Linked DNA regions of Xenopus tropicalis. The protein of the gene in region 2 interacts with the protein of the main gene of each other region in a pairwise test. Links are inferred from orthologs where the notes say so. Each region holds a gene or a part of one and is shown on either strand. Other genes may lie near its edges. The genes, in order: rab29 and c11orf49.

Region 1 (3,831 bases), on a different chromosome or scaffold from region 2:
TAGAATGTAAGTTTTATGGCTGAAAAGAGGTATTGTAAATTGAAATGACTACTCTATATCTGAGTATTTGTAGACTGCGTAGCAGTATTATAAGCATGAAATGATAGCAACAGTTGCCATGGTATACATTCAACATTGTCGTTGTGAAAACCAAACCAGTGGTATCAGCTATCATGGAAGCCAGCCATTTGCATGGAGGCCATCATCATGAAGAGAGATATTATGGTAGTTATTGTAATTTAAACTGTACCTTGGCAGCAGTTGCAATAGCAGTTGCTACAGAGACCGTAGCAACTGCTGCCAGTTGATTTTGATATAGTGACTGGTGCCAGTAACTATATTTAAAGGGATGGTTCACCTTTAAGTAAAATTTTAGTATGTTAAAGAACTGCCAGTTCTAAGCAACTTTTTAATTTGTCTTCATTATTTGTTTTTCAAAGTTTTTAAATTATTTGCCTTTTTCTTCTGACTCTTTGCAGCTTTCAACTGGGGGTCACTGACCCCTGAAGCAACAACTATTGCTCTGTGAAGCTACAATTTATTAGTCTTTCATTCAAACCACACCCTGGTTGCTAAGGTCATTTGGACTTATCTTTCCAAAATGCCTTTCCACCGGCAACAAAGGGAATCACCGGTGGAAAGGCCTATGCATTGCTTCGGTTTTCCAAAGTCGCAGCATTTTGCCTGCAGAAGGAAACGTCACGCGACTTGCCACCACGCGACTTGCCAGGACTTGCATCCTCTGACAAACTTCAGTTAATGGAAGGATGCTGAGCCTCGTAGTTCAACAAAGTTCGAGAATCCATGTCCTGTAAGTAAACCCAACTGAGCAAAAGCACAAGCTTACCCCCTTGCACAGCATCAAGCACTGATGGGCATCTATCATAGTCACAATCTCTTCAGACACAGCAAATTAGGAGAATAAAAGAAGCTGTCAGTTGCTGTCATCTATATATACAGCAGGGTCACAGGGGCCCCGGACCGCGTGATCTGCTGTACCTTAGTCACCCCTCCCGAGCTCCTCTCCTACCTTAAATATAACGGTGCGGTCAGAGGGTGCGGCGCAGTCAGGCCGCAAGGAGGGACTAGTCAATCCCTCACAAAAGATTTTTCTGCAGAAGGGCCTGGAGCAACCAAGTTACATCACTGGAAGCTGTGTATAATCAGGCTGAATGAACCATTGCAGTTCATGTGGAGGGGAGCTCTCTGCCCAGTAAGCAGGAAGTAGAAAAGTATGGAGTACTCATGGTGCAGTGGAATTTGCCAAGTCTAGATGAGAATGAAGCCAGAGTACAGAACTATATTTGCAGAAAATAAATCTGCCCTAATAGTGGCTGGAGCTTTTCAGAAGAGCAAAACCTTTATAGGCAGACTGCAAGTGAAACAGGCTATTCTGATTTATAAGACAAACCAGTGAGTTTCTGTTACTTATGTTATATACTATTAATACTTTCTTTATGAAAAACTTTTTTGTGACTAGAACAGACTTTTCTGTTTGAAGGTTCTCTGGGTGTCGCGGTCTTTAACTCTGGAAAAAGCATTGCGAAGTCTGCCATTAGTGTGAATTTTCACAACACGGATATTTCCTCAGATTTATGTTGGGTTTGTTTTGTATTTTAGAGCTGTAATTCCCAAGTAGTTATAAGTTAAACTTCTGCATTAGTTTTACAGTCTCCTTCAGCATGTCTATTGTGCCCATTTTGGGCATTATATGGATATGTCTGTTTTTTACATTTGCATTACACTAAAAATAAAGTCACCTTGTTGGCGAGCAATATACAGGGCACAAAGTCACCATTGGGTAGTATCACTTTATTATCCAGGTCATCTTTCCACATTTGGCAGTTTCTAAAGGACTCTGAATTGGTTAGATCAAACATGATGACACAGGCAGATGCTTGCTTATAATACAGTCTGGTCATTGAAGCAAATCTCTCCTGTCCTGTGAATTGCAAAGAAATAAAAGCCTTTATGTAAACTGAAATACCAGCATCTCGAATCGTATTTGTAAAGCTTTGAAATGTCCTAAGGGGTTTAATAGCCACATCAAGCAGCGTCTGTCAAAATTCCAAAAGATCCCTCTTAGATGGCAATTACAAGACCAGTGTGTTGCGTTGAAACCCATATATATGCTACCTTGTTCCCCCCATTCACTGCCCTGGGTCTCTCAGGGGTTGCATCAAAAAAGCTCAGTGTATTTTTGTTAATAAGGTACATGAAACTGTAATAAGCATTTCATATTTTGGGGTCTTTACATGCCACGTAGTTTAGGTAGTCATATGCATATTTGTTATTTAACAAATGACCTAGGGGCACCCCAGATCTAAATCTGACCCTGTTCATTTATAAACACTGGGCAAATCTGCAACTGGGCAGTAACCCATGGCAACCAATCAAATGTTTGCTTTCACAGTTCAACCTACAGCTGGTTGTAAAAAGCCAATCACTGATTGATTGCTAGGGGCTACTGCCCAAGTGCAAATTTGCCTTATGTTTATAAATAAGCCCAAGTGCATTGTGTTTTCAGGGGCTAAAGTGATGTGAACTACCTTTGTACCCAAGAACAGGTAGGTGATAAGCTGCTCCAAAGCAAAACATTTTGAGTCAATTTTATACATTTTTAAAAATCACTAACTAACATTTATCCATATAATCAGAAAGTGTCATTTTCAAAGCGATATTGTTTATGGGTTAACTTACTGTTCAAAGAGCTTAAAAGAAACACATTCAGGGGCGTATTTATTAACATCGCAGGTGATGTTTGTCTCCAATGTTAATAAATATGCCCCTTAGTCTGTTTTTAAATGGAAAACTATAATCCACTTTTATATTCTGGGGTCTCCAGATGCCACATATTTTTGTACCTAATCAATAATCATTTTATTTGAAGGATGTCAGATATCGATTGTTAGAACATTCTGTCTTGGCACTCAAGAGCTAGTGACGAAAAAATGCTGTTAATTTAAATTTTAAACTTTCTGAAAGTTTTCTAAAAAGATACAATTGACTTTTATGTTTAATTAAACATAGTCAGTGTGTTGTTTTTGCACAGGCTGAAATGCTAGCCACCAAAATTTAGCCAGCTGGGGGAGGATTTTATTTTCAAAAACAATTTTTTTTCTAAATAGGCACCTGATGGCCACCCACCTAAGGTGCCCCCTAAGCATGAGCCCTTGGGTGCCTATATAGAAATGCTGCCCTATTGGGGAAAAAGATTGTCCAGGAGAGCAGGGAGGGTGGTGCCATTGCTGAGCTTAGCCATGAGGTATGGAAGAAGCTTTAACTGCCAAGCTGAAATATGTAGTGAGCAACACCATTGTGGAGACTGTTGGCTCTGTAAAGCTGCCTAAAAACTCCAGTGTGCCAGACCTTTTGAGTAGACAACCACTGGAAGGATATCAGAAAATGACAAGTCTATCCCCCAAATGTAATAAAAGGCACTAAGTTTTCAAGGAGCAGTTTGCCCAGAAGCAGACAATTGCTTTTAAACAGGTTATCAGTAAATGCTTCCTGCTGATTGGTTGCTATTGGTTACTACTCTTGGGCGAACTTAGTGTCTTTTATTACATAACCCCCTATGCTATGGCTCTTGTGTGGGTGCAGTTCTTGTGTGTTTGCCCTATGGTGGATGGCAAGGACAGGGCTGGCCTGCGCCCGCTGATTTAGTAGAAAAATCGACTGACTCATTTCAGTTGCTCCTAGCACAGAGTTACTGTACTGCATATACCCTATATCCTACTGGACTGTGTACAGGCATCAAAGGAATGGAAGTGTAGGATTTTTTAACAAGGTTTCCAAATCAGTCAATATGGTATTGCTATAAAATCTTTA
Region 2 (3,831 bases):
TTGGACCTGCCCAAAATTCTGAAAGGCGCTGAGAATTCAATTGCTTCCCAGGTTCAGGAGCAGAGCAGAACAAAGAGGCTTTTTCTTCCCCTTGGCGTAACGTGTAAACTACAGATCCTTAAATGTTTCCAGTGCCCTCAAGGTGAATTCACGTAAGCGCCAACATCAAACAAGTGACCTGGAATCCTGCCGTCACGGAGAGACGTGCGCTGGGGAAAGGGGGGTTCAGGCCCTTAGGGGGGTACAGAAGCTTAGTAAGGATTTGGGGCATAGAAATCAGGAAATAAATATCATCGGAAAGGCTAATTAACTAGCGGCCGTGGGGTATCAGGAGGGGAAAACTAGTAGGATGGGGCAGAAGCCTGGCAGGGAAAGACAGGGGAAGGGGGGGAACATAGAAAATAGTAAGAGTCTATCATGGAACAATTAGAAACTCTAAAGGGGGTGGTTTACCTTTACGTTAACTTTTAGTATTCTATAGAATGCCCTATCCCTAGCAACTTTGCAATTGGTCTTCATTATTTATTTGTTTTTTATTTTAAAATTATTTGCTTTCCTCTTCAGATATTTTCTAGCTTTCAGATGGGGGTCACTGACCCCGACAGCCAAAAACTATAGGTCTGTGAGGCTACAATTGTACTGTTATTTATACTTATCTTTCTAGGCAGCCCCTCTCCCCTATTGATTTTTCTGTCTCTTGTTCAAACCACTGCCTGGTTGCTAAGGTAAATAAGACCATAGCAACCAGATAGCTGCTGAAATACCATACTGGAAAGTTGCTGAACCAAATGCTGAATAACTAAAAAAAAACATGAGAAATAAAAAATGAAGACTAGTTGCAAATTGTCTATAGCATACTAAATGTTAATATAAAGGTGAACTAGCCCTTTCGGAAGTTTCCAATGAGATAATAAGCACATTGAATACAAAATAGTAAAGCCAATTAGTGCAGTAACGCTGGAACAGCATTTCCCCCTCCACCAATCACTTCCCTGACACCACTGTTAGATGGGGGTGTTTGGGGGTGTAGGAACAGGGATCACAGGACCTTAGGCCTGGATGGGTCCTGAGTTCTTATTGGCTTCCTATGCTTACAGGAACAAATGCAGTCACTGTGTATGCACCCCTAGTTATGCAATTCAAACCAATCATTGTCAGCTCCAGGTAGCAGCTACTAATCCCCCTGCACCACAGTAAAGGTAAAGGTTATAGTATTAAAAAGTAAGACAGATTTTTATTTCCTTTGGAATAATACAATTCTTGGCACCACAGGGGGTCTGTCCCAGATGCAACTCAACAGGTTAATCCAATCTATAGGGATGCGCTGAATCCAGGATTTGGTTGGAGATTTAACCCAGATTCGGCTTTTTTTCTGCAGGATTCGCCTGTATCCATGGCTCTGGCCAGATCCAATCGGAATCCTTAAACATGTGACTTTTTGTCACATAAACACTGAAGTTGAGCATTTTTCGCCACCCCTTTCTTTTTAATCTTTGCCTATCTATCTATCTATCTATCCTTCCTATCTATATCTCTCTCTCTATCATCTATCTATCTATCTATCTATCTATCTATCTATCTATCTATCTATCTATCTATCATCTCTCTCTCTATCTATTCCGTCTATCTCTCTATCTAATATTTCTATCTAATATATCTATCTATCTATCTAGTCTATCTCTCTATCTAATACAGGTATCGGACCCCTTATCCGGAAACCCGTTATCCAGAAAGCTCCGAATTACGGAATGCCCGTCTCCCATAGACTCCATTTTAATCAAATAATTCAGAATTTTAAAACTGATTTCCTTTTTCTATGTAGAAATAAAACAGAACCTTGTAATTGAATCCAACTAAGATATAATTAATCCTTATTGGATGCAAAACAATCCTATTGGGTTTAATTAATGTTTTATTGATTTGTTAGTAGACTTAAGGTACTGAGATCCAAATTACGGAAAAACCCCTTATCCGGAATACCCTTGGTCCCGAGCATTCTGGATAATGGGTCCTATACCTGTATATCTATATCTATCATCTCTCTCTCTATATTATCTATCAATCAATCTATCTATCTATCATCTATCTATCTATGTATCTGCCAATCTATCTACTGATCTATCTATCTATCTATCTATCTATTTATTCTGTCTATCTCGCTATCTAATATATCTATCTATCTGTATATCTATCTATATCTATCTATTTTTGTGTTGTGGGTTTTGTCCCCGAGGAAGAGCACAGATTGTGCTCGAAACGTTGGAATTTTTTCAATAAAACCACTTTTTCTTTTGTATCAAGTCCCTATGTGTGCGGCACTCTGTCTATTATATCTATCTATCTGTATATCTATCTATATCTATTTATCTGTATCTATCTATTTATCTGTATCTATCTATCTATCTATCTATCTATCTATCTATCTATATCTATCTATCTGTATCTGTATATCTATCTATATCTATCTGTATATTTATCTATATCTATCTATCTATCTATCTATCTATCTATCTATCTATCTATCTATCTCTCCTTACTACTGAATCCCATATAGTGCCTTTAGGCTAAAGGGGCAGTTCTCCCATGACTAAACCAAGTAAATACTCACTATTGGGCAAAGAACTTGGCGGTGCTGCCCTGGGGCTCGACCTCGTCCTTGTTCTCCAGCAGCTGAGCGAGTGCATCCTCTAGGTACACCTGGACGTGCCTCTGTGCTGTGGGAAAGAGGGGAAATCATTATCCGATGCACGGAAATCCCCTGTGATTCTCCCTATGGGAGTGCAGCATCTCAGGGAGAGGATAAGGTTTCTTGTTCTGGCCCCAGTTCCATATGAATAGGGAAAGATGCCATTCCCAATCAGTCGGGGGCCGCGTGACTACAAACATACACCTGCTCCTTGGGTTCCCTATACACGGGGGCTTTGGCCGGCGGCCAGAAATCTGATGAAAAACGCATGGTGGCCAAATATGGTTTCTATCTGGTTCTGTGTTCTCTCAGTGCGCTCTGTGTTTCTTATCCCAGACTGTCATTCCATACGGAAAGGTTCCTTCTATTAGAACTTTCTATGTGTCTAATGGAAAAGGGAAATTCCCTATATAAATTTCAAATTTTTTTGTATTCAAAGCAGTGCCTCTCTGTCCCTTCCTCAATACATTATATATATTTATGGACCTGTTATCCAGAACGCCCGGGCCCCGGGGTTTTCTGGATAAGGGATCTTTCTGTAATTTGGATCGTTATACCTTGGGAGTCTACTAAAAATGATTTTAACATTGAATAAACCCAATGGGATTGTTTTGCCAGCAATATGGATTAATTGTCACTTAATTGGGATCAAGTACAGGTACTGTTTTATTATTACAGAGAAAAGGGAATCATTTAACCATTAAATAAACCCAATAGGGCTGTTCTGCCCCAATAAGGGGTAATTATATCTTAGTTGGGATCAAGTACAGGTACTGTTTTATTATTACAGAGAAAAGGGAATCATTTAACCATTAAATAAACCCAATAGGGCTGTTCTGCCCCCAATAAGGGGTAATTATATCTTAGTTGGGATCAAGTACAGGTACTGTTTTATTATTACAGAGAAAAGGGAATCATTTAACCATTAAATAAACCCAATAGGGCTGTTCTGCCCCAATAAGGGGTAATTATATCTTAGTTGGGATCAAGTACAAGGCAGTGGTTTATTATTACAGAAGAAAAAGGAAATCATTGTTGACATTATTGGATTAAAATGGAGTGTATGGGAGATGGCCTTCCCGTAATTCTGAACGTTCTGGATAACAGGTTTCCAAATAACAGATCCCATACATCCTATATTAGAT

Evidence for each region.
Region 1: the proteins of c11orf49 (region 2) and rab29 interact in a two-hybrid assay, tested with the Homo sapiens proteins (2 studies listed by BioGRID and IntAct). The two-hybrid records come from large-scale screens. The link is inferred for Xenopus tropicalis from reciprocal best matches to the Homo sapiens genes CSTPP1 and RAB29.

Annotation. Positions count from the first base shown.
Region 1 is NC_030678.2:73,482,703-73,486,533, forward strand, and holds part of rab29 (ras-related protein Rab-7L1), read right to left. Parts: intron 1,943-3,831; coding exon 1,761-1,942; intron 1-1,760. UniProt on the Homo sapiens protein: The small GTPases Rab are key regulators in vesicle trafficking. Essential for maintaining the integrity of the endosome-trans-Golgi network structure.
Region 2 is NC_030680.2:11,489,425-11,493,255, reverse strand, and holds part of c11orf49 (UPF0705 protein C11orf49 homolog), read right to left. Parts: intron 2,715-3,831; coding exon 2,609-2,714; intron 1-2,608. UniProt on the Homo sapiens protein: Regulator of the tubulin polyglutamylase complex (TPGC) that controls cytoskeletal organization, nuclear shape, and cilium disassembly by balancing microtubule and actin assembly.